Linked DNA regions of Rhinolophus ferrumequinum. The protein of the gene in region 3 purifies or fractionates together with the protein of the main gene of each other region. This does not show direct contact. Links are inferred from orthologs where the notes say so. Each region holds a gene or a part of one and is shown on either strand. Other genes may lie near its edges. The genes, in order: NCBP1, ATP-dependent RNA helicase DDX19A, XPO1 and NXF1.

What was found.
Region 1: the proteins of XPO1 (region 3) and NCBP1 purify together in Homo sapiens (affinity purification with western blotting; 3 studies listed by BioGRID and IntAct, with this or other methods). This does not show direct contact. The link is inferred for Rhinolophus ferrumequinum from reciprocal best matches to the Homo sapiens genes XPO1 and NCBP1.
Region 2: the proteins of XPO1 (region 3) and ATP-dependent RNA helicase DDX19A fractionate together in Homo sapiens (co-fractionation; 3 studies listed by BioGRID, with this or other methods). This does not show direct contact. The link is inferred for Rhinolophus ferrumequinum from reciprocal best matches to the Homo sapiens genes XPO1 and DDX19A.
Region 4: the proteins of XPO1 (region 3) and NXF1 purify together in Homo sapiens (affinity purification with mass spectrometry; 3 studies listed by BioGRID and IntAct, with this or other methods). This does not show direct contact. The link is inferred for Rhinolophus ferrumequinum from reciprocal best matches to the Homo sapiens genes XPO1 and NXF1.

Annotation. Positions count from the first base shown.
Region 1 is NC_046295.1:54,149,555-54,156,449, forward strand, and holds the start of NCBP1 (nuclear cap-binding protein subunit 1), read left to right. Parts: upstream 1-3,872; 5' UTR 3,873-4,116; coding exon 4,117-4,150; intron 4,151-4,521; exon of another isoform or gene 4,522-4,599; intron 4,600-6,895. Other genes in the region: TSTD2 (thiosulfate sulfurtransferase/rhodanese-like domain-containing protein 2), read right to left, coding at 1-18, 559-723. UniProt on the Homo sapiens protein: Component of the cap-binding complex (CBC), which binds cotranscriptionally to the 5'-cap of pre-mRNAs and is involved in various processes such as pre-mRNA splicing, translation regulation, nonsense-mediated mRNA decay, RNA-mediated gene silencing (RNAi) by microRNAs (miRNAs) and mRNA export.
Region 2 is NC_046298.1:21,992,126-21,999,701, reverse strand, and holds the start of ATP-dependent RNA helicase DDX19A, read left to right. Parts: upstream 1-4,563; 5' UTR 4,564-4,684; coding exon 4,685-4,741; intron 4,742-7,519; coding exon 7,520-7,568; intron 7,569-7,576. UniProt on the Homo sapiens protein: ATP-dependent RNA helicase involved in mRNA export from the nucleus.
Region 3 is NC_046296.1:27,576,470-27,583,445, forward strand, and holds the start of XPO1 (exportin-1), read left to right. Parts: upstream 1-3,971; 5' UTR 3,972-4,747; intron 4,748-6,976. UniProt on the Homo sapiens protein: Mediates the nuclear export of cellular proteins (cargos) bearing a leucine-rich nuclear export signal (NES) and of RNAs.
Region 4 is NC_046294.1:8,034,617-8,041,466, forward strand, and holds the start of NXF1 (nuclear RNA export factor 1), read left to right. Parts: upstream 1-3,849; 5' UTR 3,850-4,216; coding exon 4,217-4,244; intron 4,245-5,745; coding exon 5,746-5,929; intron 5,930-6,145; coding exon 6,146-6,299; intron 6,300-6,850. Other genes in the region: STX5 (syntaxin-5), read left to right, coding at 1,935-2,094.

The DNA.
Region 1 (6,895 bases), on a different chromosome or scaffold from region 3:
GACAAAAAGGGCAAATGCCTGCAATTACACGCCAATGTCACTGTTAAATAACCTTAGGTTTAAGGCTAATGGAAGTCTCAGTGAAATCCCTTCTATTATCTTTCCACAGGGGTTTCCAGTTTTATGTTCTACTATTCTGTAGAACTTCCTGTGAGAGTAACAGTTTTCATAATAACCTTTATACTAGTTGGACCAGATCAGGAGTCTTAGGTAGCAGCTGCCCTAGTGTCTGTTTTCCTTATGACTAGGTCTCCTGGGTTCCTGCGATTCCTCCTGTCACCCTAGGTGGGGAAAGGAACCCAGCCCCTCTGTCTAGGACCGGTCCTCAAGTGCTCCACCAGAAGTGTTCCTGAGCCACACCTGCCTACGATTCTCCTTTGCCTGGCATTGAATTAAGATCACTAGTAATGGCTCTGACTAAACCTTACCTTGAACACGGCAACAGCCTAGTGTCTCACTAACCTTCCACTCCCTGGAGGACAACCTTGATAAGCTACTTCTAGATCTATCTGCGTTAACTACACATGCACAATCCCACAACACCAACAGCAATTTTACCTTTTTCTTTGCGAATGAGTATTTCTTCTTTGTATTGACATCGAGCTCTGCTTTGAGACTACTACTGGGATTGATAACACTTGTGTCTTTTAAATCCAGGTCTGAAAATCGTAAAACACAGGTCTCCAGGTCCTCTCCCTGGTCTGGTGAAGCGGAAGAAGGCATCTGGCTTGGTTGCAAGAATGGAGCAGATTCCTTTCAGTTAACTATCTCCTAGGAAGTGAGCAAGGGAGAAACAACAATGTCCAAGTTTTTGATTACTACTTGAAGTAAACTCAAAGCTAATCAATGATGCAAATGAGCATGGGCCCTGTAGCCCATTCGCTCATTCATTCAACAAATATTTATTTAGCAGGCATTGTTCTTGACACTGGGGATATAGCAATGAATGAAACAGAAAAAGTCTCTGCATTCCAGTGGGGAGAGACAGGAGGTAAACAAATGAATACATTGATTAAAAAATAAGTCAGATGGTAAAAAGGGCTACGGAGACAAATAAGCAGGGTAAGGAACCAGAGTGATAGAGGGGATCTTTAAAACACAGAGAGTAGTCTGAGGCAGTAGCATTTAAGCAGAAACCTGAATTAGGAGGCAAACCATGCAAACATTTAGGGTAAATGATATCAAAAAAGCACAGGTACAATGGAAATCAGCGAAGCTGTGTGCTAGCAACTTCAGTTATAAACACCGTTCTTTTTTGTCCCGTAGATTTTGAGCTGGGCAAATTCCCTTTCGTAGAAGAAATAACTACTGAAACAGCCCCCATTTTAATGAGCCAGAAGAAATATACAAATTGTTACTGTGGCCAGGACTTGTCCAAAGGGACACACTATACAATCAACACACTGCATTCTTGCTTTTATAAAACAAATGTTAACAAGTGACAAAGAGGCAACATAAAACACCAGAAAAGCATGGGCTCTGGATCGCGGTGCAGCTGGGTGCAAATATGTGAACCTGGGCAAGATATTAAACTTCTGAGTTCTACGTCCTTAATTTCTAAAATGCAGATGACAATGTCTACGTTGCAAGGCTGTAGTGAGGACTGGAAAGGACATGTAAAACGTCTGGCACATCCTTAGTTCTCCTACCACTCTTGGCTTATCTCAGACAACACTCTCCCTCAAGTATCCTACTCTGGCCACAGGGCACAAACACGCCATTCCCTCTCCTGCCTCAGTGTCTCCACATACACCTGTCCCACCACCCCAAATTGACCTCCCCTCACTCACAATCCTTTTCAGTTCTTGCTTTAAACTTATATATTCCTAACTATTCTATGTGGGGATTTTGGTATGTGCCCGGCACATAGAAAACAGTACTGCGGCTGCAGGCCTTAATGAAACAGTTCAGGTCCCTGCTCTCTTGTAACTTACATTCCAGTAAGGGACACTAAATAAGTAAACAAATTAAAAAACATGAAAATATCAGTGATAAGAGCTGCTGCTTCTCAATTGCCTTTGGTGGGGCGGATCCTCCATATTGTCCCCAACTTTAAATGTTGAATGACTTTATCTATAGTCACCCTGCAAGTGATCTCATCTACTCCCAAGGACTTAAAAACTTTATTTGCCTCAGAATAACTGTGTAAGGGGAGGGGGATAATATATGTGAAACTAGACTGGCTCTTAGTTGGTAATTGTTGAAGCTGGTTGATAAAGTACATGGAGGTTCATTGTATAATTTTCTCAACTTCTGTAAATATTTGAAACTTCCATTAAAAAAAAGGGAAGCAATCATAAATAAAGGAAAATTTAAGTTAGAATACTATATACTGACTCCAGATTTATATCTCCAGGTGGAGCCCTCTCTCCTGATCTCCAAATTCACACATCCAACTGTCTACTGGATAGCTTCAGCCGGAGGGTTAACAGGCTGTTCAGAGGTAACCGTTCAAAACCAAACTCTTGCTCTTCCCCAGTCTTCCTTACCTCCATAAATGACAATTCTATCCTTCCTGTTACTCAAAAATCTTTGGGCTTCTTCTTGACTCCTTATTCTTTCAACACCATCTTCCAGTCCGTCCGAAAATCTTAGTAACTTTGCTTTTTGAAATACAACCAAATCAGATCACTTCACACCACCTTTACTACAAACTCCGTTCAAGCCACCATCCTTGCCTGACTGAATTATTGCCACAGACTAACTGCCCTCCTCCTGTAGGAGACAGTTACCTTAAAAAATAAGATTAGTCTCCAAAGGCTTCTCAACTTACTCAGATAAGGTCCAAAGTACTTACAAAGCCCCTCCGACCACCGCTCTAATCTCAACTTCTACTACTCTCCCTTTGCCCACCACCTCCGATTGCACTGTTTTCTTTGCCCGTTCTTAGATGGGTCATCGGCACCAAGAAAGCAGGGATTTTCCTTTGTTCACCTCTGCATCCTCAGCATCTAGAACACTGCCTGGCACATAGGAGGTGCTAAATGTCAATATATTTGTTGAATGAACTAAAACATTGGGTAACCAGGGAAGGCTTCATGAAGGACCTGATGTTTGAGCTGGGACCTAAATGACAAGCCATCTATGCAGATTTAGAAGCAGAGATCTCCAGGCAAAAGAAATAGTATCAATTCCTAAAGTGGGAACAAGCTTAACTCATTGGAGGCACCGGAAGAAAGTCCGAGTGGTTGGAGTACAGTGATGAGAGACGAGAACCCTGGAAGTCAGGGTATGAAATCTGCAACGGCAAGTCATGGGAGAACTGGGAACAAAAAGGAGTAACGTCGTCTGATTCTGGATTCGTTCTGAAAGTAGAGCCAGCAGGGTTTAGGGATAGATTGTTATGTAGGAGGTGAAGGAAAAGGAGGAGCCACGAATGACTTCTACCTACATTTTTTAATTAAGCAAGCGGCTGGACGCTGCCGTATATCGAAATTGAGCACCGGTCTGGCCCAACTTCTCCGCCCAGCGTTCCCGAGGAGGCAAAAGCCCCGAAGTGGGAGTAAGATGCGCACGTACCCGCCAGTCCCGATCCTTTCTTACACCTTTCTTCATTGAACCTTCTCCGCCTAATCAGTAACACTGCTCACCACCCTCGAGCCTCCACCCCCACCTTGAGTTTACGTAGCAAAAAAACGCTCGGGACGTCACTTCGCTCCGGAAGTCTTCGAGGATGTGAGCGAAAGGGCCGCCGGGAAAATCATTCCGAGCCCCTGCGGGCGGGTCTGGAGTGGAGGCGGGGACTAGAGCGTCCGTCCTAGACCGCTGCCTCCAGGCGTGGCTCGCAGCCCCGGGCTTCGGTGGGCCGAGGAGGCGGCGCGATCTGCGTGTCCCCGGAAGGACTTACATTGAAAGGTGGGAGAGAGAAGAGGCGGAGGAAGCCCGAGGGGGCGGTGGCGAGCGGCCGGGACGCCCGCGGCCTGAGGAGCTTCTAGCTCTGCCCAACCTGCCGAGCCCACCCGGCCGCCTCCGCTTACGCTTCCGGGAGCCGTCGCGAGCAAGTGCGCCTGCGCGCCGGCCACTCCGCGCGCCTCGCCGCTGTCCTCGGGCCGGCGTCCCCGCGGTTCCTGCGGCGCTTCCCGCCCCACTCGGCTCGTCCGCGCACCGGCGTGCAGCATGTCGCGGCGGCGGCACAGAGACGAGAACGACGGTGAGTGTCCTGGGCCCGGCCGACGAGGCCGCGCCCAGGTGGGTGCCGACGTTTGGCTTCCTTCGTCTTCGAGTCTCGAGGGAAGCCCTTCCCACCCGGGAGCGTTCGGGAGTCGCGGAGGGAAGGGGGGTGGCACCGCGGGAGTGTGGCTGGGCGACTTCTAGAAAGCTCTTACCCCTCGCTCCCGCTCCTTTAGTCGTTGTCCGGTAGGAGGCCTGAGGGGGCCCCAGGCCTCTAACGACCTGTCAGGATTTGGTCCTTGGCACCGCCGAGCAGAGAAGTACGTACTTCTGTGGGTCTGTGCGGCGCCTCTTGGGGACAGTGGCAGGGACCCTCTAGCCTCAGTTTCTCCTTTTGACCCTCCAACTCACCTGGAAAGGGCTCTCCCACACGATTGAAGGAAAGGAACAAAGCCGTGACTGAGAGAGCTGATGAATCGCTTTGTGAGCTCTGCTCCCCTACCGGTCATTGTTGATTTGCCTTCTTTCAAGCTTCAGGGAAAGCTTGTGTGTCTCTTACCCACACCCAAGAGGTCACTGACAAACACATGCGTGTTATGTTAGATTTGCACTGGCCGTAATTGTATTTCCGTCGTGTAAGAGAGTGCTGGGAAACTAACTGGAGAGCTCGCAGAGATTTAGCTCAGGAGTTGCCATGTCCATTTGGATGGTTGTGCTCGTGGGGGTCAGGGTGTTGTCATAAACCAAGAATAATTTTGCTAGTTAAAAGTAGGAAAAGGTGCTTCCACTGCAAAAATCAGTCAAGAACACACATCCACAATAAAAGGAACTAAGAGTCATTCTATTATTAGTATTTTAGTGTATTGTTTGAAAAGAGTGTAGTGTTTAAGAGGCCAGACTGTGGAATTAGGGGGTTTAAGTTCAAAGCCAGACCCTAGCATTTACTTTGTGACCTTGCTCAGGTTCTATCACCTCTTTAAACTTTAGTCTGTAATGTAGAAGTCATATAGAAGGTGATACATACCTCCCCACGGTTTTGTGATGGTTAAGTGAAGTTACGCTTGTAATGAATGGCTCGTGATGATGTTTATTTAATCATCTGTTAATACTTAAGAGGTAAGCATTGGCAGATGTCAATGATGTAAGAAAAATACAGAACAAAAAATTTTAATTGAATTTTCTGCACTAATATTTTTCTCTCCTTGAATGTCGGGGCAGTTAGGGTAGGTAAAACTAAAACAAGTGTATTTAGTTTTAACAACGAAACATCAGATTTCTGTTGGGGCATGTCTTGAAAGGATATTCTAGTCCAGCTTTCTCATCTGACACCTAAAGGTCTAGAATTTTAGTGTAACTGACATGGAGTCACAGCTAGCAGTGCCCAGACACCAGTGAGTGCAAGTTCCAGGGTCCTCTTCACTACCCAGGCATTATGCTTCATGCCTTTTTTTAAAAAAAAGAAACACAGGAGGTTTCTTGTGTACATTTGGGGCACACAAAATACAGTTTTCATATGCTTTGAGTTTGATTAATCAGAAGCTAATACGCTTGAAGTCATCATTTGGTGTTTAAAGAACTTGAGCCTTTTGTTAAAGTTCTTCCATTTTCTTTTCTCACACTTTCTTTTCTCCACTTCTACTTCTCTCTTTTAGAGTATCCCTACAGGGAGAGAAAATGTTTCCAGAGGGCTACCTGGAGAACTGGATTTGAATCTGTAGAAACGCAACTTTTGCTTCGGTTATTGGGATGCTGCTGTAACTTTCTTGGGAGTTACCTTCTTTTAGTACCAGCTGGCAGCTAAATCATTGTCTATTTGGGTCTTGCTGCAGGTACCTCAGAATAAGTAAAAACCAAAAAAGCAAATAAGGAGTTAATTAATCAAAGTTTACTGTGGTGAATGAATAATTTAGTAATGGAAGGGCAATTTATAGTTCCTCTTGGATACTACACTGAATCTGGAACTTTTGTAAATTGCCACAATTTGGGTAATAATTAGCTAGGGTTTACCCTAAACAGTGATCTGAATCAAATATTTTAGATACTTTCCTTTTAGTTGGGCATCTGTTAATTTTTAATTAGAAATATTAGAAGCTTAAATATTATTGAAGGCTATTTTAAAATAGGCTGAATTATTATAATCATAGTTTAATAGATATATCAGAGCATTGCTGGATATTGTCAGCTCTTAGTCAGTCAGTGACTGCCATAACTTTCCATGTGCTTGACTAGATATAATCATTTATTCAACAAATATTCATCAGAGCCAGGCACTGTCCTAACTACTGGCAGTACAGCAATGGACAGTATAAAGATGGAGCCTCCCTTTTACAGACAGGAAACAGTCAAGTAAAATATAGTATAGTATATGGTGATAAGTGTTACAGAGAGAAAGAAAACTGGGTAAAGAGGGTAGAGACTGCTGTGGGGGGGGGGCAGGGAATTACTGTTTTGTATAGGTTGTTCAGGGAAGACCTCCCTGAGAAATGCGTCTGCAGTGGGTAAGGGAGCAAACCCGCCGGCTACATGGGGGAAAGCAGGGGTCTCAGCATAGGGAATCAAAGACCTTAGGGCTAGCAGAATGAGTGAGGCGGAGAGGTAGCAGAGGATCAGCTCGTAGAGGGTAATTTTAAAATTGTATCTGTGTTGAGACGAGTATTTGGGATCCAGGGAGACAGTTAGGATACTATACCAATGGAGTTCCCCGAGAGGTCAATTTATAGACAAGGAAAGGGAAGTGCTAAGTGGAAATTAATGTGCATGAATGCTGGTTCAGTGCTAAATCTAA
Region 2 (7,576 bases), on a different chromosome or scaffold from region 3:
AGAAGCGGTAGTTCCCAGAGCAGAGCCGCCACCCTATCGTGCCCAGCCCCACTGCAAACACAAGTGGTGCGAGTCCCTGCACTCATTTGCTCTGAATGAATGATGATGCCAGAGAACGAGAGATGCCAGAGAATGATCATAAGAGATGTTTTTTTTCTCAATTCATTTATTGATTCATCATTCCCTAATTCAACAGATGTTTAATGTGCTTTTACAATGGATGAGGTGATGGGGAGCCAATGGTGAGCAAAACAAGTAAGGCCTTTGCTCACCGGACTCACAGTTGAGTGATGATGAAATCATCCTGTTACAAGTCAACAAGTCGCAGTTCAAGTTCATCCAATCAGCATCTCAGCAGAGATTCAGGCCAAAACAGCCAAGTACAAAGTACCCTGGGAAAAGCTATTGCACTCTGATGATTGGTTGGCTCACCTGCCTCAGCCAATCAGAGGCCAGCTGGGCTCTTAACCAAAAGTTAAAAGTTAAGTCCCAGGTCCCAGGAAAGCCTTTATTCTGCCCTTGGTTTTGGTTTTGTCACCCATTAGTTCCTGGAAGTGGGTTGCCCTGAATACAAATATTAGATTTGCCACTTACTAGGCCATTTGATCTTGCCGAAGTCAACTTCTCTGAACCTCAATTTCCTTATTTGTACAATGGAGATAAAGTAGGAAAGTTGTGAGAATTAAATGGGGGGTGATTCAAGTAAATCGTGTAGGATGCATTAAAAAAATGTTAACTCTTTTTTATCTTTTCAGTCTAACCGAATCCGAATTAGGACAGGAGGGTGTTTATCTAGTCCGCAGCTTCAGGAGAATGTGCCCTTCCCGTGTCTTGGTCTGGAGAGGAGTGCGATTCTCACTGGCTTCTGGCTGGATACCCGCCTTTTGGAATAGAAACATTAGCTGAGGGGGAGGGAGTGGTAGCCCTAGTAGAGCGTGCCCTATTGCCCGGAGCTGCTCCAAACAGACGGGCTGGTTTCAGTGTTCCAGTTGGAGCCTCAGCTAGATTAAACAAATGCCAATGAGTCTTCCCTGAGAGCACTCACCTAGATTAAACAAATGCCAATGAGTCTTCTAATAGGTGCAGGCAGTGAAATAAATAAAAAGAAATTCCAGCAAATGCCCTACAAATCCAATGCAAGCAAAAATCCTATCCTCAATTCCCCAGGTGACTATGTTTAGCTCTAGGAATTGTGTTTCAGTGGAAGCAATGTAGGCATCATCATATGAGTGCTAGAGCAGCTGCACTTTGTAATGAAATAGCAATTGATATAGGGCACCCAGTGGGCACCCAGACTTCAATTTTTGCTCTAATGACCTCTGCCACAAAGGACTTACAATTGAGTCTTTTAGTGCTGCTGCTTTTGATTTTTATGGAAAGCTTTGCTGTGTAGATGGTTGAGTTAAAGAGTAAGAGGGTGAGATGCCTCAACATCTAGTTTTTTATCTTTTTTAAAAAAGTGATTGCTACAAAAGTAAGACAAGAGCATTATTCCTCAGAAAACCAATCTGCAGTGTCCCCTAGGGTTGCTGCCCAACAAGGAGTTAGGCCATGGTGCTATCTCCCAAAAAACAATGTAGCCTCCAAGCAGTAGCTCATTGGTGCTGAGGATGCTGGGAACTAGACTAGTCCTTTGGGAAGACAGTATGGTGTTTGGCATTCTCACTTCTGTAGCATAGTGTGTGCATGCCCTGTTTTAATGAGTGATTAAGAGCTGAGAAAATATTCTTATCCTTCCTCCCTTTTTATACAGTACAGATAGACTTATTACTACCTGTATTTTTTAAACTTCGATTTTTTAAATTACATTGCATTGTCTGTTTTCTTTTTAACTGACATATATGTAGAGTGCAATGCACAGATATTAGGTGTACAATTCCATGAGTTTTGACAATTGTATACACATGTGTAACTACCACTCTAATTAAGATACAGAACATTCATCAGCCCTTAAAGTTCCTTTGTGCCCTTCCAATCAATCCTGCTCACCCCAGCCCATCCCCAGGCAACCACTGTTCTGATTTCTATCACTATAAATATCTCTTTTTAACTTATGTAAATGGAATCATGTACCATATATTTTTTTCATGTCTGGAATCTTACACTCAACATAATGCGATGGCAAATCTCTCATTTGTGTTGTTGCATGTATCAGTAGTTCATTCCTTTTCTTTTGCTCTTTAAATCAATGTTATTGAGGGGTGATTTATATAAAATAAAATGACGTTTAAAATACAGGCATACCTTGGAGATATTGTGGGTTCGGTTCCAGACCACCACAGTAAAGCAAATACAGGAATACTTCAGAGATACTGCAGGTTCAGTTCCCGACCACTGTGATAAAAGCGAGTATTGCAACAAAGCAAGTAGTCGTCTTTTTGCTAATGGAGTGTCTTGCCTTCAGTTTGTAAAAAACGCAACACCTGTGAAGCACAATAAAGTGAAACCTAGTAAAACGAGGTATACAGTTTTAACAAATTTATACATCTATGTAACAGGACTTCAATCAAGTATAGAGAACATTTCTATCACTCCAGGAATTTCCCTTGTCTCCTGCCCAAACTTCCCCCCTCCAGAGGCAACCATTGTTAATTTTTATCAGTATCGATTTCGTTTTTCCTATTCTTGAATCTCATATAATGGCTCATACAGTATGCATCTCTTGTGTCTGGCTTCTTCCTTCAACATATTTGTAAGATTAATGTATTTCATCTCGTTTATCAGTAGTCTGTTCCATTTTATTGCTCAGTAGTATTCCGTAGAATAAATATGCCATAATTTGTTTATCCATTCTGTTGATGGACACTTGTGTTGTTTCCAGTTTGGGGCTATTTTGAGTAAATCTGCTATGAACATTTGTATAATCTTTTTGTGGACATATATTTCATTTCTCTTGGATAATAAGTAGTAGTAGAAATGCTGGATCAAAGGGTAGGTGCATGCTTAACTTGAGAAACTGCCAAAAAGTTATACAACAAAACCATTGTGCCATTTTACATTCTTTCCAGAAGCCTATGAGTTCCAGTTGCTCCTGACAAAGTTTCTTTGCTTGGCCAAACTTTAGTCAGGCTCTTGAGCCTTCTGCTAGGCCAATCTGTGCACTTCCTTGTATGTTTTAGCAAGAACCCTTGATATCTGATCACCCTTAGTATCTGATCATGTTCTTCATCTTCCACCATCCCCTTCCTTTGATGTCTGATCACTCTGGGTTGTCTTCAGCAAGAATTGTGTTAGGCTGGTTACCAGAACGCCCCTAATGTTTCCTCCTAGTAATTGTTCATCCACTCATACCACCTCCTGCCTCCTTGGCTATAAATTCCCACTTGCCCATTGATGTTTAAAGTGAGCCCAAGCTCTTCCCCCCACTGCAAACATCCCATTGCAATGATCCCTATACCTATTGCAATGGTCCTGAATAGTCTTCCCTACCATCTTTAACAAACGTCGTTGAATAATTTTTTAACATTCCATATCCTTATTAACACATGGTGGGTCAATTTTTAATTTTAGCCATTCAAACGGGTGTACTGTGGTATCTCATTGTGACTTTGGTTGCATTTTCTTAATAACTAATGATTTCGAACTCCTTCCATGTCCTGACTATCCTCTTTTGTCAAGTATTCAAGTCAGTCATACATTTTGACATAAATGTTGCAATGATTAGAAATGTGTCCTAGAGGGATACATTTTGAACTAAAATCTGTTAGTCTATTCATACACATATACATTAAAAGATATTTATTGAGTCTACTATGTGCCATGAACTTTTCTAGGTTCACTAACCAGCTGTGTAACCAAGATATTTAAGGTCTTTGCTTTTGTTTCGAGTTCATATTGTAGTGGGGAGACAAAAAGCAAACTGGCGACAAACAAGATGATTTTTGGTGGTGTGAAGATGCTCACTGAGGTATCAACTGATGATAAAACATCAGAAACAACTGATATCCCCAAGGGGCTAGGAGTTGGGGAGTTAGGCAATTTATGTGATATGAGCTTGGACTATTATAATGTTTTTAAATTGATAATTATGACATTAAAAAACACTTAGCCGTATAATAAGGTCAAATGTTAAATTGTATATATACTTTGTTTAGGACTATGTAAAATACCCGTGCTATGATGTGTATGGACAATGACCGGAAGGACCCAGAAGGAAAACAAGAAACGCTGCTGTATTTTTTGGACTGGTGGAATTATGGGAAAGCGGGTTTAAGGGCTTTTGGTTATGTTTTGTTTCTTGTCGTCTTACCTGTTGTCACGTTAAGAGTAGAAACTGGCACCACGTGGTATTCTCACGGGACTTTCTTTTGTGTAAGGCTTTAGAGTTCAGAGACACATTTGAGACGAGGCAGGTTTAAGAATAAAACTTCAGTGTGAAGCATGGCAAAGTGAGAGCTAAGAGCTTCACTACGCACGGCTTGGAGATTTTGAGGAACGAAGAGGCTGCGCGCCTCAGGAAACCCACAGAAGCTTCGAGCGCGCGCCTGACGAGAGGCTGCCAGGCTGGGAGGCGGCGCGGCGCGAAATGGTGACGTCTCGCGCCAGGCAGGAGCTGACGTCACTTTTCTCACCGCCGCTTCCGGTCCGCGAGAGTGTCGGTCTCGCGCAAGCGGGGGAACCGGGGCAAGTGTTGGCGTGCGGTGCGGTACTTTTTTTCGCGAGTCGGACTCCCTCCCTTGGGACCATGGCCACCGACTCGTGGGCCCTGGCAGTGGACGAACAGGAAGCGGCTGTCAAGTCGGTCAGTGTCTTCAGCTCCGGGCGGGGAGAAGGGGCGGTGGCGGGCCAAGTGGACCCGCTTTCGAATCCAGGGAGCCCCACAGGTGGGGCAGGCCCGGGGCCCACCGGGGAATCAGCCCTGATGTGCGCCTAGAGAGACCAATATCGAGCCTTTTTCTTCATCTGGGCCTGTTAGAGACTTTTATCCTGTGGCAAATCTGACCCCGTTACATAGGCTGTCTTTTCCTGTACTGCATCTCCATTTCTGTGGGGATTGTAAGGAAAGGCGTTTAGATGCTGATTCTTTCTCATCTGTTTTCTGAACGATTCTGTGCTTATTTTAACATTTTTTTTAGATCCATGCTTAAAGTGGTTGGCAGTTTGTAGCTCTTTGCAGAATAACAGATTCAGGTTTATATATATTTTAGTCTACTGCAAATATTGGCGAGAGGCACGACAAATTGTTTCATTGATGTTTAAAGTAACATTTAGTTTCGTAAACTGGTTCTTCTTTGATAAATGAAGATCCATTCAACTGGAATATAATTATAATTAAACTGTAACTTTCTGTTTTTGTGTCTAAGTTTAGATTTGTTTAGTGATAATGGACTTGATTTTAGGAATACAGTTTGTTTTTTTGGTGGGTTTTTTTTTTTTTGGTTGTTTTGTTTTTGTAGTCTGAAATCTTAAATAACTTTTTAATACCTAAATTACATTCTTCTCCAGTCACCCTTTATTGCGTTGGGAGAATTGTCAGTTTGTCAGCAGATATTTGAAATGGGCTTAATTCCTTGGAGAATAGGAAGAAACTTTACAGTCTAGTTAGGAAGGCTAGAAAGTGGAAAGTGCTGTGAAAATGGTAAGAAGAATGATAACTGAACTCGGACAAGGGAGAAGACATTAATGAGTAGGAAATTCCTTTTCAAGTAATTTACATTTGAACTGGATATTAGAGAATGAGTCATTTAAGGTAGAGATGGAGGTGAAAGGCATTTTAGGAAAATAGAATGCATAAAAGTGCTGCACTTGCTTAGAGAACAGGAATCATAACTAATTTTTGCTGAGTTACTGGGTTGTAGTAGAAGCAGTATAGAAAATATTGTAGGGAGTATATTTTTGGACCTTAACTAAAAACTTTAAGAGGAGAGGCTTTATTTGGTTGGTTTGGGGATTTTTAAGGATATTAACAAAATTAGATGGAGTGCTGGCAAGATTTGTTGGACTACAGAGAACATAATATATTAGAAGGAATGAATAGTATCCAAAGGAAAGGAGATCAGTGTGGAAATGATGCCAATAGCCCAGATAGAAGTCATATGTTGGGTGGTAAAAGTGAAGATTGGATTTAAGAGATAATTGTGGAAGTATAATAGAAAAGATTTAGAAAATAGAAGGGAGAGGAAGGCAAAGATACTGTTTTCAATTGGATCCTAATAATAGGACTAGGAGAGTGGGAAGAAGGGCAGTTCTGATATGGAAAATAGTGAGTTTACTTTTGACTGTTCCAAATTTGAGGTAAAGAGGACATCTTGGTAAATACCTGTGTTGGGAGTTCTGAAGAGTTTTCCAAGTTTGATAATTTCCTAGGAGAACTCACGGACTCAGCATATAATGGTACTCACAGCTATGATTTATTCAATGAAAAACTACAAAGCAAAATTAGCAAAAGACATGGGCTCATGGAGCAAAGTCCTGAGAAAACCAGGCGCAAGCTTCTAAATCCTCTTCCAAATCTAAGAAAGAATGAAAAGCGTATGCTAAAAGTAAAAGGGTGCACTAGAAAGAGAAGAGAGGACAGTAAAAGAAATAGTGGAAGCTATATTGGCCAATAACTATGCAAAATTAATGGCAGATGCCAAAACACAGATCTAGGATGCTTTGAAAACAGCAAACAAGATAATTGCTAAAAATGTAAATATGTTTAATTATGTATGTTGTAGAAAATCAAAGACAAAGAAAAAATCTTGAAAGAAAAAAGATGATAAGTCACATGCTCCACTTAATGTGTGCTTAATTCCTCCTGCAATAGATTGTAACAATACATCAAGTGTTGTCAGGAAAGCTCATTAGACACTCAGTGCTCAGAGTTTTTGTTGAGGGGCCTGTTACATAGTCATCCTCGGCTGAGCCTATACCCAAATTCCAGATTCCCAAAAGAAAAGCAGGTCTTAACATGAACCACATGTTTTTACAAGCATAGGGACCCCCTCAGAATTTCTGAGAATGGTGGGAGCCCTCTCAAAATCCATATTCCCAGATGCCAGCCAAGGGCCAACCTTGCAAGCTGGCTTTCCTAAGGATAGTAGTCAGCCTTGCTCTGTTAACTCTTTTCTGCACAGCACCCATTAGACATTTGGAAATGTGGTACTGGAGTTCTGGAGAAGAAATCAGGTCAGATGTATAAAACTGGCAGTTGTCCACAAAGAAATCAAAAGGTATTATCTAGTATATGGTTCTGGCACTCTAGAGTTTACAATCTAATGTTTAGCATCAGATCTTCCCTAAAAGATAATTACCAAGAATTGGTTTCAAAACTTTTTAAACCTATGATCTAATCTAGCTGTGATATGTCACAAACGTAGGCCTTAACATACTTGGTACCTGGTTCTAACCAATCTGCTTATCAGAAGGGTGGTGTAATTAAATGTTTTAAAACATTGCTTCTTCACAGTTGGAGAAAACCCTCCCCCACCCCCATTTTATTTTACCACATAGACTTGTGTACATTAACTTAATAAATAATTCATGGTATTATGTTATCCTGTGGCTTGCTCTCAAGTGTTTTTAAATTTCTTTTCAGATCAGTAATTTGCAGATCAAGGAAGAGAAAGTCAAACCAGATACCAATGGTGAGTCA
Region 3 (6,976 bases):
CTTTGGTAATGTTTTTGAAATCTAAGCATGTGATGTGATGTAGTGTTTTGCACAGTATTTTTAAAAGCAAATAGAAAAAAGATTTTGTATAAAATATTCTCAAAGAAATTCGCCTCCCAGTGCTTCCTTTCAGGCTTTACAAAGTCACAAATGTGCCCTAGATAGTCATTAGGAAGAATAAGCCCATGGGATTATGACTTTGTTCTCGATACATGAACATACCCAGTGAATCATGGTATGTTCAGTCCAAGTGTCTGATTTTCATGACTGGTAGGAAGAAGTGCATTTTGGAAAGTCACTGTTGCTGTACCTCTGAGCGCAAAGTGGTATCAATGTTCTCAAAACGATTGAAATAACAATTTTGTTATTAAAAATAATAGATTTATTGCATATCCTTAACTTAAAAAAATATTTTTACTACATTATATGGGCATTTAATCTTATCATTTGTATATTCCTTGAAGAGCTCACCGTCAGGGAAGATTGCCTTCCAGAACCAAAAGTTCAAATTAAAATGCAAAGATTCCTTATTTAACTCTGGTGTGACCTTAATATCTATAGCTTTGATAAGGAATAAACAGGTACTGTTCACATATTGTGGTGGGTATGCAAATTGACACAATCTTGCCAGTACCTATCATAATAACAAATATACTTGGCCTTTGACACAGTAATTCCACTTTTAGGATGTTAACTTAGAGATATATTTACAAATGTGTCCAAACATAAATGTACTGGGGTATTTACTGCAGCAGCATTTGTAAGGGGAAAAATTGGAAATAGCCTAATTGTCCTCAGTGGGGGGAATTGTTGAATTATTTCTGGTACTGAGAAGATGGGGAAAGCTATGAGGCTGTTAATAAAGGATGAGGTAGATTTATACATTCTGACATGCTAAGTAAAAACTCAAGTCACTGAACAATATGTATAGTATGATATCATATATGTTGAACAAAACACAAAGCAAATATGTTTGTGAATAGATAGAAAACATCTCAAACCATCACACCCTTAATGATGATTATCTCTGGACAGGAAAAAGAAATGGCGGGGCATAGGAAGAGGACTTTTACTTTTTTAGTGTAGATAATTCTTTCTCTATTGTTTGAATTGTTAAGTGATCATGCATTACTTTTTAAATTAAAAATAATTTAAAAAATAGAAATACACGACAATTGGTAGAAAGGAATTTATGAGTTTCTGTTTCTCTTATTTTTGATGAATGTTATTGTTTTGCGAGACAATGTGAACTAGTACGAAGAACACAAACATGGGTTCTAGTTATGGACTAAAGTACTATGGGGTGGTGTGTACCTGCGTGTATGTGTATATGCGTATGAATGGGGGCGTGGAACAGAGTGAGATCTGCAAAATAGTAACTATCTTACAGGGTTGCTGTAAGAATTCAGTTAAATATTGTACAAAAAAGGTCTCTAACAGTCTGCTAGACAGCAGGCAGGCACTCAATATGGTTTACCGTGTTTCCCCGAAAATAAGACCTAGCCGGACAATCTTTTAGAGCAAATTTTGCTCTAAAAGACGCATTAGAGCTGATTGTCCGGCTAGGTCTTATTTTCGGGGAAACAGGGTATTTACATTTCCTTATCCATATCCACCAAGGTTTGAAATCTGTGTGAGTCCAACAAATGAAGGTAATGAAGAAAGTATTAGACACACGTCAGACCTGTGTTCTGAATTTGATCCTGAAAATACAGTGATCAAACATAATTATCTGCCCTGTCACTTCCTTTTGCACTTGTTAATAAGAAGCTTATATTGAATACTCCATTTTGGCTAACTCTAGGCAAAAAAATAATGGGCTAAATACAAAAAAATGTACACACATATTAAAAAAGGAAAACTGTATTATAATTTTAATACTCAATATATACCAATAACAAAAGATGAATACAAATCATGTGTATACATTTTTTTGGCACCCCCGGTATTTACATCTGATTCATTATGGTCACACAATATGAACTCCTGGGGGTATGATTTAAAGAAGGGATGAAAAGAGTCAAAGAAGGGGATAGCAAACTGAGACCATTTGAACTTTAAAATCCGCAAAGTGCTTTATGGGCCACAGCACTCCTTCACATCCACTTGATCCTTACATGTATTAGACAGGCATAGATGGTATCAGTTTCATTAAGTGTGTCAGAAAAAAAAAATTGAGGCCCAAAAAGATGAAGTGAATCACCCAAGGTCACAGTCTGAGCAAAACCAGGTCTTACTCCCAGTTTTTATTCCTATTGTTCTGCCATCTAAAAATTCAGTGACTGGTCAAAGCTGAATATGTAGAGGGAAAAACTTAAAAAAAAAAATAGGACAGTCTCAGTTTTTCTGGTAATAGAATGTTAAGTGTTCCAAATGATTAGTTTATGTCATATATATTATGGTTTTGTATTATTCAGATAGGCAATGAATAAAAACCTTAGGTCTGAAAGTCATCCAATTATCATTTTGGTAAATTTAGGCAATAAGTTGTTGGATTTTTCTTTATTGGAGGATGAGGGAGTTATTTTATTTTTTTAATTAAAGTTTATTGGTGTGTCAATTGCTAGTACAGTTACATAGATTGCAGGTGTACAATTCTGTAATACATCATCTATGTATCACATTGTGTGCTTACCACCCAGACTCAGTTCTCTTTCCATCACAATATATTGGACGAGGGAGTTATTTTTAAGTGGTGCTTTGGTGTGTCAGCCATTGACCACTGTGAGTGAAGATTTGCTGAAAAAAATTGATTTAATAAACCATTTATCAACCTCTTGGTGGCACAATGGGCCCAGAAAATTTTGGTGTGCCGCTCGCCTTTTCTTAAGCAAAGAACAATCAGTAAAGCTGAGGGCACTTGGGGACAATCGAGAGGCAACCATGTGAAAGGCCACGTGCGCGTGACTATCATAGAAAATACTATTTGGTGACGATGAAGCATTAGAAGGGCAACTATGCTGCAAAGAAAAATCGATGGTACAGGCAGATCAAGGGCACCTAGTGGGAGGCAACTGGCATGCAAGATTACCCAGCGAATATATGCAATGTTAAACCACTATAGGGATTAGTTTTTAGGAAGGGTTGGTTGTTGAAGCAGCCAAATTCCAGCCTGGGGAGACACCGAATTAAATTTGAAGGAGACTTGCCCAGCAACTATTTGTCTTTTGCAGGTCTCTGAGATCATAAGGAGCCAAGCACTAACGTCTCTACTACACCTCACCTCAACCTCTTTTACGGTTGTTCTCACCCTCAACTCCCCAGGCCCCAAACTCAGGGCTTTAAAATGGATTAGAGGTCTGGGGCCTACATTTGGCCTCGGATGTGTTCGTTTTCTTTCCACCCCTCTCCCTGATTAGAAAAATTGGGTGTGCCCTCCCTTTTCGTAGCGCAGCCCCCATTCGAGAGGGCGGGTCCTCTTCCGGCGGGCTCAGGCCCCGCAAGTTGGCGGGAGCCGACAGGGGCGGGACGGCACGGGTCCGGGAAAGCCGAGCGAAAATGCTGCGCGCCGCGCTCAAACTCGCGCCACCACCAGCTCACGAGCTGCGCCCCACCCTCTCCGTCACCAAAGGCGCCCAGCCAATGAGCGGGCCGGAAAGGCTGGGCCAGCGGGTGTGGGAGAGGAAGCAGCGGGAGGGGGACGGGAAGTCGAGGGCGGGTTGCATTTGATTGGCGGCTCACTCGAACCAATCTTCCACGCGTCTTCTTTTCGCTCCCTTCTCTGCTGGGCTCAGCTCTTCGTCCCACCTCCTCCTCCTCCACCCCTCTCCTTGCTCCTCTTCGACCCGCCCCACTTCCCCTCCCCCACTCTGCGGGCAAATCGCTGCTGGAAAGAGGCGGGGGCCGAAGCGGCGGGCTCGTGTGGAGACTTGAGGTGGGATTGACGGGGGATCTGGCCAGTTAGAGGTAGGCTGATGGCGCGGCTGTGGCTGGAACCGGCCAATGGGCGGTCGGGCTGGGGGCGGAGGCCCAGGTTCCAAACGCTCCGCGGCGCCATGGGCTGAAAACTCAACCGAGATGGAATCTCCCAGTCTGAACCGGTTTCAACCGGTTCCGAGTTTGAGGCACTAGGAGGAGGGGGAGAAGCGGCTGCAGCGGCCGCGGCAGGAGCAGCGGGAGCTACAGCATCAGCAAGAGCAACAGTAGCTACAGCCCCGGCGGCGGTGCCTGTTCCAGTCTTTGCTGCTGCAGTCCGTGCAACCACCCAGAGGGGGAGGGGGGAACCACCAGTCGCTGAGGAGCAGGAGAAGGGGGGAAAGTTTAGGCGAGCCGGGGTGGGGGGGGCCCAGCGCCGGAGCCGCGTGAGAGAGGGAGCCGTATTTTGGTAGGGGGAGTCGGACTGCAACTGGCAGCAGAGCGTCCCCCGACCGTGTGGACTCTACACCCCCTACTCCTGCCGCTTCTGCTGCCGCCTGTGGCTGGAGGGTCTCCCTGGGGCTGAATCTTTGGGACTTGACCCCGTTCCCCTCCCCCTTTCCTTACTCCCTAGCCAGGCGGGAGCATTTATTTCTCAGATTAATTTCCCTTCTTTTTTGGGGGGGCGGGTGGGTGTGTTTCGGGGGGAGGTGTCCCTGAAATAGTAAATATTGTTGAGCTTTTTTTGCCCTTATCCTTTTTTTTTAATTTCCTTTTTTAAGGTGGGAAAACTGTGAAACCCACCTTGATTTCCTCCCCTCTCCCCTCTCCCTGCCTTCCCTCGCCCTAATCCCCCGACAAGGAAGGAAGAAGCAGTTGGTTCAATCTCTGGGTAAGTCGACTGTGTCTTCGGGGCCGAGGGTCGGGCGGCGGCACGGCGGGGCGGGAGGAGGCCGGCGTGGGGCGCGGCGGCGGCCGCGGGAGGCGAGCCCAGGAGGCGGCGGCGGGCCCACAGCGGAGCCTGCGATTGAATGGAGCCGCTTCTGCCACTGGGGGATGGAGGCGGCCGCGGGAGGGGAGCGCTTGCTGGGTCATTCGTGTGTGAGGGTGGCGGTGGAGGAAGGCGAAGAGCGTGATAGTGAAGCAGGGCCCCCACGCGGGGGTGGAAGGGCTTCCCCAGCCCAAGGGGATAGGGAGAAGTTGGGGTGATTTCAGGAACATCTCTGTAAATTATTAGGAGTGGAAGTTTCCAGAAATATTTAGTGCAGCAGCATTGAAACGTCCGCCTGCATCACGTGGCCGCTCGGTGGAGAGCTTGGGATCGAGGGAGGGAGGGGCTGCCGAGTCCCTGCTCCTCTTGCAAGGAAACTCAAAAATCTTTCTAGTTTTTTGCAGGGTAGGATTAAAGTAGGAAAGGTTAGTTGATTTTTTAGGGATCTGTAAATGGGTTCCGTGTCCCAGTTTGTTTTCGGGGGCTTGAGTGTGTTGTGATCGAATCATTTACTGCTGGTGTTGTAGAGTGGACGATGCCCTGATTCTCCTTCATTCCGATGTCTCTGAGTTTGGCGTGGGTGGGAGGAAGTGGTGTAGTAGAGGAAGCATTAAAGATTTGTCCAGCCCCGAGCTCCTCTGATCACGCAGAGGCCATGCTGCATAGAGAATGGGGCGGTGAACTTGGTGCGCCTGGTGTTTGCCTCCTCCGAGTATGGGCGGGGTGAGTGCGTGCTCGGGTATGCTATAGTTAGAAGTGCTGCAAATCGCTTCGGGTGGGAGCGAGGGGAGGGCGGGCCTTAGTGAGGTGTGTTTCTACTGAATGGAGCAAGCAATTGCCCACACACCCAAGTAGCAGTCTCTGTCCTTGTAGCGACTTGTTTTTTTGACTTACTATGTAGTTATCATTAAGCGACGGTTATGATTTTACTGTTTTTGGATGTGAGCTGGCAGTGTGTAGCTGTCTGCCTATTCTGTTGGAAGTGGCAGTGAAGGTATTTTGGTAGTCACTTGTAGAGTCACCACGTTGCTGGATAACGTATACTATCCAGTGAGTGGATTTTAGGATTGAGTGTCGCAAAGAATAAAAAGCTGTGTTGTGGTTTTTCCCTCTCCCGCTATGCCTGTTTGCTATCTGCCTGATTGTATATCTTAAGCGTGTGGGATACTGAAGTTAGTGGAAAAAATAGTTGGGAAGCTGATTTGGGGGACTAAGTGTGCTTGGCATTGAACAGAAAGCCGCCATTTCTGTACTACGTACAGTTCAAGAATAGGTAGGTCATTTCGAAGATAGCCGCTAGTTCTAAGGATGGCAAACTCTAATGTGTTTAACACAAGTTTCTATTCTACATCTGAGTTTTTAGCAAGAATTTAGCTGGAAGAACTCCAAGGACAGTGTACTCGAAAATGAAACTTTTAGAGCACGTTACTTTTTTGTTTTGGCTACTAAATTATGATAGGGTTAAATGGGAGAAAAGTTCGTCTAGTTTTTAATTAAAAAAAACACTTGATATGTAGATTTTGGTGCTTTGTGGACATTGCTGTTCAACCTCAACTTTTAAGGCTGTTCTGCTCTTTTAAAATTGGCACTTGAAGGGAGGACACATTTATTTGGAATATATTTCCTTTTTTATATGGTTAGTATTTAGATCAAAGATTTTTGTTGTGTATGCTAATATTGTGTATTAAAACACGTTTCATAACTGCTATAAAAGTTTTTGAAATCATCAGTTTTACTGTCAATGGATCAAAAGACTTAGGAATAAAAAATCCTTCAACTCTTAATTTCTCGTGTTTTTACATTGTCTAACTTATGTCTAACTTAACTGACTCGTTTTTTCAACTAATAATTTGTTGTAACTGATATCGTTAAATGAAACGTGGGTTAAAATTGAAATTGCTGCCATTATTAACATTTTTAAACTGCTATAAAATAGCTAAGAAATAACATCTTCCAATCAAGCTAGTTTGTCCAAACATAATGGAATCAAATCAGACACCGACTTCCTGATCTTGGAAGGTTGTTAAGAGGGGGACACCAGGCGATGACCATCTGACCTTGTTGGGTCTAAATACAGTAAACCAAGGTTTCTTAACGTGAGGTTTCACGCATGGCTTTCAGAGTGTCCTG
Region 4 (6,850 bases), on a different chromosome or scaffold from region 3:
AACCCAAGCATCTTGAAGTTTGGGGGAAACTGAAACTCAAAAATTAAAATCTCAGATCTCTTAATCACAGTCACATAATCTTTCCAGTTCTTGGGCTCACTGTCTTTGGTTCAAACTCCGTTTTTTTGTTGTTATTGTTCCCAACTTATACTCACCTTCTAGTCTTCTGGTTTTCCAGGCCTCTCACATCAGTGTCATCAATTATCCTTTCTGTTCAGCAAGACTCCAGCTTCTTGATGCTTGATTCTTTCCCTCTGGTTTTTCTTTCTCTCCATAAGACATTCTTTTGTCCTGTTCCCCATGTAAACTTTTCCTTTTAAGTTTTCTTCAGCCCTCTCTTTCCCAAGCCATTATTTTCAGCCCTATTCATTTCCATTTTCTAACTCCCTGCTACTTCTCAGTGTCCCACTGATTACTAATTTTTTTTTCACCACCAGTGTTCCCTTCTATTAGTTTCATTCGTGGACTCCCATTTAAAATCTTTTGTGTGTCAGATTGCATTTATTGTTTTTCCATTTTTGTTCAGCGGAGCCAATGTGAGCTTTATTGAGTATGACATGACAAATGCACCCACACTGAGAAATGTAATTATAGCCCCAAACTAGGAAACCTGGTACTTTAGTTAGCCTCTCTGACATACGAGGGAATCATGTATAATCTGGGCTTCCGTATTTGGACAGAGATTAGCTGGCAGTTTTCATGACCACCTTCCCAGGACCTGGGCCTTTCCTCTCATATTCCACCTAGATTGCAAGGCTCCATCAACTTTTCTATCCTCAACAGGTTGGAAAGGTCTCTAACTCCCAGGGACTCACTTTGCAAGGACCAGGGTTTGTATTTGGTTTTTAGGATTGCATATGCAGGTCGGCTGGGAAATGTTTCCTTTTCCTCAACAATCTCTCAAGAGATTACCCTTTCTCTGAGGACTTCTCTATACCCTGGAGAGACAGTTTCTCATAATATAGGGCTTTTCTTATCCCCTGACTGCCTGTTCGTGTCATTTTTTTCCTTCTTGTCTCACTCTGAACCAGGATTTCCTGACTATGATGGCCTGTGAACTTTTCTCCCTGTTACAAATGCAATACATATTTAAGAAAAGTCAATAAATACTGATGAACAAAACATTATAATAGCTAACATTTTGGGGGCTTTTAGTATGGGTTGGGCACTATATAGTTGTTAACTTAGGTAAGACTGACAACAACGAGAAAGGTAGGGTTTGTGTTATCCTCACTTTTCCTTCTTTTTCAGTTGAGGAAAATGAGATTTGAGGTTAAATGACTGGCTTAGGGTCATCAGCTAATAAGTTGTGGAGCTGATTTTCAAATCAGATCCAAGACTTGTTTGTATTACCCTTCCAGAGCTTTTTGTATACACAGATACACTGGGGGTGCCAAAAAAATGTACACATTTTAAGAGATGTTATCTACGTATTACTTTTGAAAGTTGATTTACGGTATCAATGTGCAATATGATGTTTGTTCAAAAGATGGCATTAGGGGAGGCCAGATAGCTCAGTTGGTTAGAGCATGGTGCTTTTAATAAAGTTGCCAGTTTGATTCCCACATGGGCCACTGTGAGCTGCACCCTCCACAACCAGATTGAAACAACTACTTGACTTGGAGCTGATGGGTCCTAGAAAAACAAACTTAAATACATAAAAATTAAAAACAAAAAAAAGGCGTTAATCAAATGAATGCTAGCATCATTTGTTGTATTACCATTTTAATATAATACAGTTTTTTCCTTTCTTAAAAAGTGTATACATTTTTTTGGCACCCTCTGTATATGCACAAAAATGGAATCATATTGTGTATAAACACTTTCTACTTCCACCTATTGTGACCATCTTTTCCTGTCAGTAAATATGCTTCAATAGCTTTCTTTTTAATCTAGTGACCTTCTGTTCCCTCTCTCCCCGGCCCTATCCCCAGGATCGATGAGAACGTGCTGGGAGCCCAGCTGGATGTTGAGGCCGCCCATTCGGAGATCCTCAAGTACTTCCAGTCGGTTACGTCCAACCGGTGGCTCATGATCAAGATCTTCCTCATCCTCATTGTCTTTTTCATCATCTTTGTGGTCTTCCTTGCCTGAACCCTCTCTGCTCTGAGGCACTCCGCGGGGGTTTGGAGCTCACCTGGGAGGGCAGGTGGCCACTGCTGCCCCTGAGCCTGTGCAAGGTGCTTGGAAGAAAGGCCCTGTTTTCCTGGAACTGCTAAGAATGGCCACTGCCCCTGATTCCCCACCCCTTGCCTCTGGCTACCCTGTCCTCCCCTCACCACCCTCAGGCCCACGAAACACACATGGTTCTGGATTTGGACTCTGCTGTGAAGTGGCTGGAAGGGAGCAGAGGCCAACTGGGCGGCCAGTGGGGGAAGTTGTCTCCACTAGGAGATTTTTATAAACCCTCCCCAGCCTCTCGCAGAGGAAACTTTGGCAGCAAGGGGAGATGATGCCCTTCCCCACATCCTGAGAGTGAGGAGAGGAAGTGAAACTGCCCCAGGGACCAACTTTCCCATCTGGGTTAGAATTTGACCTCTTTCTTCTTCCTCTCTTCACCATGTGAGGTGGGGGCCCTGAGCCCCTTGGCTGCCTGCACAACCCCAACTTTGGCTGCTGGTGACTCTCAATCTGCCAAATGAGCTGCAGCCAGTTTCTCCCAATTACAGCAAGACCGTCAGCCTCACTAGCCATGTTGTCATTTCTGGGTGGGAGCGTCGAAGGGCCAGGCAGCAACTGGAGTGAGCCCCCTGCCCTGTACCAGAACTTTTCAGGTTGGGCTGATGGCTGTGAGAGGCAAGGCTTTGGGCTCTGCACACGGCAGCCTCCGGGCAGGGGAGAACCAAGTGCAGCAGCACTTCATTAGCATGGCAGCTTCCCTTCAAAGGGGGACGCAGGATCCCAGAGTGGGTTCCCGACTGGTGGCAACTTCCAGGACCATCTCCAGCAGTATTTGGACCTGTTTCACCTGCATCCTCCAACCAGTTGGCCCCAATTTTCCCCTGAGCTGGATGAGGCAGGAGCTCTGTCTGCTGCCAGGAATGAAAAGTGAAGAATTTGTTCTCAGCTCCAGCTGAGGTTCTTGATCCCCTCCAAGCCCCTCACCAAGTCCAAGCCAGTCACAGGAGAATGAAGGTGAGACGTACCTGGAATACCCGCCCTCCAGGGAGGTCATTCGGAGATCACTGGATTCCTCCCACCTCACACACCCCAGAGGAAGCTCAAACTATAGACGACAATCACCATACACTCTGCTGGCCCTAGTACTTTGGGGGGTCTAGGAGAGCCCATGTCTTTCCTAGCCCTGGCATTTTAAATTTCTCCCCCCTCCTCAGCCTCTGTTCAGCTGGTGGCCCTGCTAGAATCTTTACTACCCAGTAGACACACCATGTGGGCCTAGGACAACACATCAGTTGTGGGTGGGGCTGTTTGTGAAGACAGTTGCTCCGTCAAAGCCTGACAAATGGCAGCCTTTCTCATTTGATTCCGCAACTCTTCGGGGGATGCATAGATCAGAAATTCATTTATTTCACAAATACTTGTTGAGTTCCTGCTATGTGCCAGGCATAGTACTGAGTCAGGTGCTGAAGGAAAAAAACCGTGAATTATTCAAAGTCTCTGCTGCTTGGAGCTTACGTTTAGTTTTCTATATCCTGATAATCCATTTTACAGGCGTTGAAAACGAAGCGTTGACCCGCAGCCCACAGAGGGCTGAACTGAGACAAATACGGGTTATATCCCGCTAGGGGTCTGGGAGCCTTCACTCCCGCTCGGAGGCCCAGGTCTCCCATTCCTGGGAAACCCTTCATGTGGCCCCTCTTCCCCGCTCCTCTCGGAGTCCTGGGCGTCAGGAGCCTGCCCTCTGCTCCAGCGCTAATCCTGGAGGTGCTGGCGTAGCCGCGGACGGAAGAAAGCGGGCGGCAGGGCGAACCAGCCCCAGCCTTTGGCTAGGCGAGCTCAGGTCTAGGGCGAGTCGGGCAGCGGCGGAGCCCCGCTGCGCGGCGCGGCCGTTCGCCCAGTGCGCACGCGCGGCCGTCTGCGCTCCTCCCCGGAGGCACCGCCCACTACCTGGGGACGTCGACGGCGCGCGGCGCTCTGGGCCAGATAAATGCGGCGCTGCCGGCCGTAGGGGCGCTTCGACCTGGATCACCTGGGCGTTCTGACGATTGGTGGCGTTGTGGCCCGCGCCTGAGCCCGCCCTGCTTTTCGCTGTGCCATGGCGGACGGGGGGAAGTCATACAACGGTCAGTGTTGTCCCCGGGGGTGGGAGCGGGGCGATCTGGGCCCCGGGTGGGCGGCGCTGGCCTAGGCCGCAGCCCTGGGGCTGGAGGCCGCGAGGGGCCCGCGTCCGCGGAGAACGGTGGAGGCGCGGGTCTGGGGCGAGGCAGCCCCGGGGGTCCCACCGGACTCGAAGGTGGGAGCCCGAGTTGTTGACTCCGGAATCCTGGCGTTGCGAGGAGCTGCGGCTCGGTGCGGGTGGTTCGGCGGTGGGGTGACGAGATTCCTTTGAACTTTGTGGGTGGTGGATCCCTGTCATTTCAGTTTGGCGGCCAGACTCTTTAATGTGAGTCAGTGCCCTTCTCCTGAGCTACCTGTGCCCTATTTTCTATCGCGTCCAGTCGGTTTTGTCCCCCTTCCCTGCGGTTTTGGCTTAATATTTTAGATCTACACACCATCTCGATGTTCTAGACCAAACACTATACTGGGTCCAGAGTAGTGGTTTGGAGCACATGACAGCCGAGATTTCAGTCTTGAGTTGGCTACATCAAGCTTGAGTGAGTTAAACGCTCAGGCCTCATTTTCTACTCCCTTAATGCAGGTAGAAACAGTACCTACCTCCTAAGTGTGTGTGTGTGTGTGTGTGTGTGTGAGAAAATGAGATCATTCATATCAAGTGCCTGGAGTATGGTAGTGCCTGGCACTGGAGAAAGTTCTCAGTGAATGTTAGCTGTGCTTTCTATTCATTTCTTCTTTTTTTCTAGGGTCATTTCTTGAAGTTCATTGTTTGCAGGGTGCTGCGCATTAGGCAGACCTTGTTTGAAGTCATCGATCTTTTTTTAAGAAACCATTCCTACACACCAGGATTCAGAGGGTCATATTCCTAGAGAGCAGTCGAGAACTCTTGGTTAAGCACCCTAGCTGCCATTAGAACCTGCATCTAGAATTTGTCTTCTGAGTTAAAAGACATTTCTGGCCAAGGAAACAAAGAACTCACTCCCAAAACTTCAGAGTTTGAGAACAAGACTTTAAAGAAGTCCTTAAATTGGTCACATTTGTAACATACACTGTATAGGCAAAACAAGCATCGTTTATTGAAAGCTGATGTAATAGTTGTGGTTGCTTGGTTTAAGGGGATGGGAGAGGTCACCATTCAAATACTGAGTAGGGTTAAGTAGGTTTGAGAGTCCGAGTGAAAGCAGATTTCATTCAGGTGACTTTTGAGGGGTCTGAGTTGTGCCCAGTTTCACTTTTGGGTCACTCACATTTCCACATTGTGTTTCTCCTCTCTGTACTTCCAGTTTCTGCTTCATTTTTCAAAAGCCCTGCATGGTTTCCCAGTGGTTTTTCCCTTTTTGGTGCCATCCCACACAGAGGGTTCTTTCTCTGGAAAGGCGGGGGAGTTTGCTTGGAGGTAGCCTCTGCAGTTAGTTTGTATCTCATCCAATAGTGCAGCGATACTGTAATTGGTGCCACAGCACAGCAGCTGGGCCAGTTTTCTAGTTTGTGTTCTGTTCCCAACTCCAGAGCATGATGATCGAGTTAATTTCCCTCAAAGAAGAAAGAAAGGTCGGGGTCCTTTCCGGTGGAAGTGTGGTGAGGGGAACCGTAGGTCTGCAAGAGGAGGTGCTAGCATTCGATCTTCCCACCTTGAAGAAGATGACAGAGATGTGGCGATGAGTGATGCCCAGGATGTTCCCCGAGTAAGATAGTGAGTAACCAGTGGATCTGGTTTGAATTTGTCGACTCTTTTACTTATATACTGTTACTGTTTGTGTCGTTTCTCTTCCTACCTACAAGAGTGAGGACTGCCAGGACCAGCTTAATGGTTGAACAGTCTTAGTTGTAGTTCTCATAACAGTGCAGCAAAGACTTTGAGAAGCCATTCCTAGTGTTTATGGACATTTTATTCTCTATTTCCACACAGCAACCCCTATGCTGCACGAACTAACCGTCGGGGCGATAATTGGCAGGATCGAGACCGCATTCATGTTACTGTGCGAAGAGACAGAGCTCCTCCACCGAGAGGAGGGGCTGGCACCAGCCAGGACGGGACCTCAAAAAAGTGGTTTAAGATTACAGTGAGTATCTTGGAAATAGATGGTGTAGGAGAGATGAGAGGCAGGGCTCAGAGTGAAGGTGTTTACCCTTCACACCACAAAATTAGTCTTCTGAGCTGTTTACTCCACAGTCAGGTATCCGTCCTTTGGCATAAGGATCAATGTCTTAGAACCTAAGGGCAGGTGCAGAAAAGGAATAGAAAGAATAGGCAGCACGGGGAGGAAGGCAAGGCCATCTAAAGGGAAACGTGATGACTGATTGGGAGGTGACATAACTCCTTTGGATGTCTCCATGTGGCTCAGACTGAGTCGTGGGGGTTGGGGCCCCTTGACTTCTGAGGGGCAGGCAAGGTAGAAATAATATCTTAGGACTTTTAGAATCAAACAATTTGATTCTTTTGATGAATAATAAGTATAAATAGACAAAAAGGAGGTTAAGGAATCCATGTCTGACTCCAGTAGTAAAGCTTTAACTGGTGTTTTCTTTAGAAAATCTTTTAAACCTTGGCAGACTATATGAAGCACTAGGTTGTATCTCCTTTTCAGCCTTAGTTTCATATTATTCCCGGCCC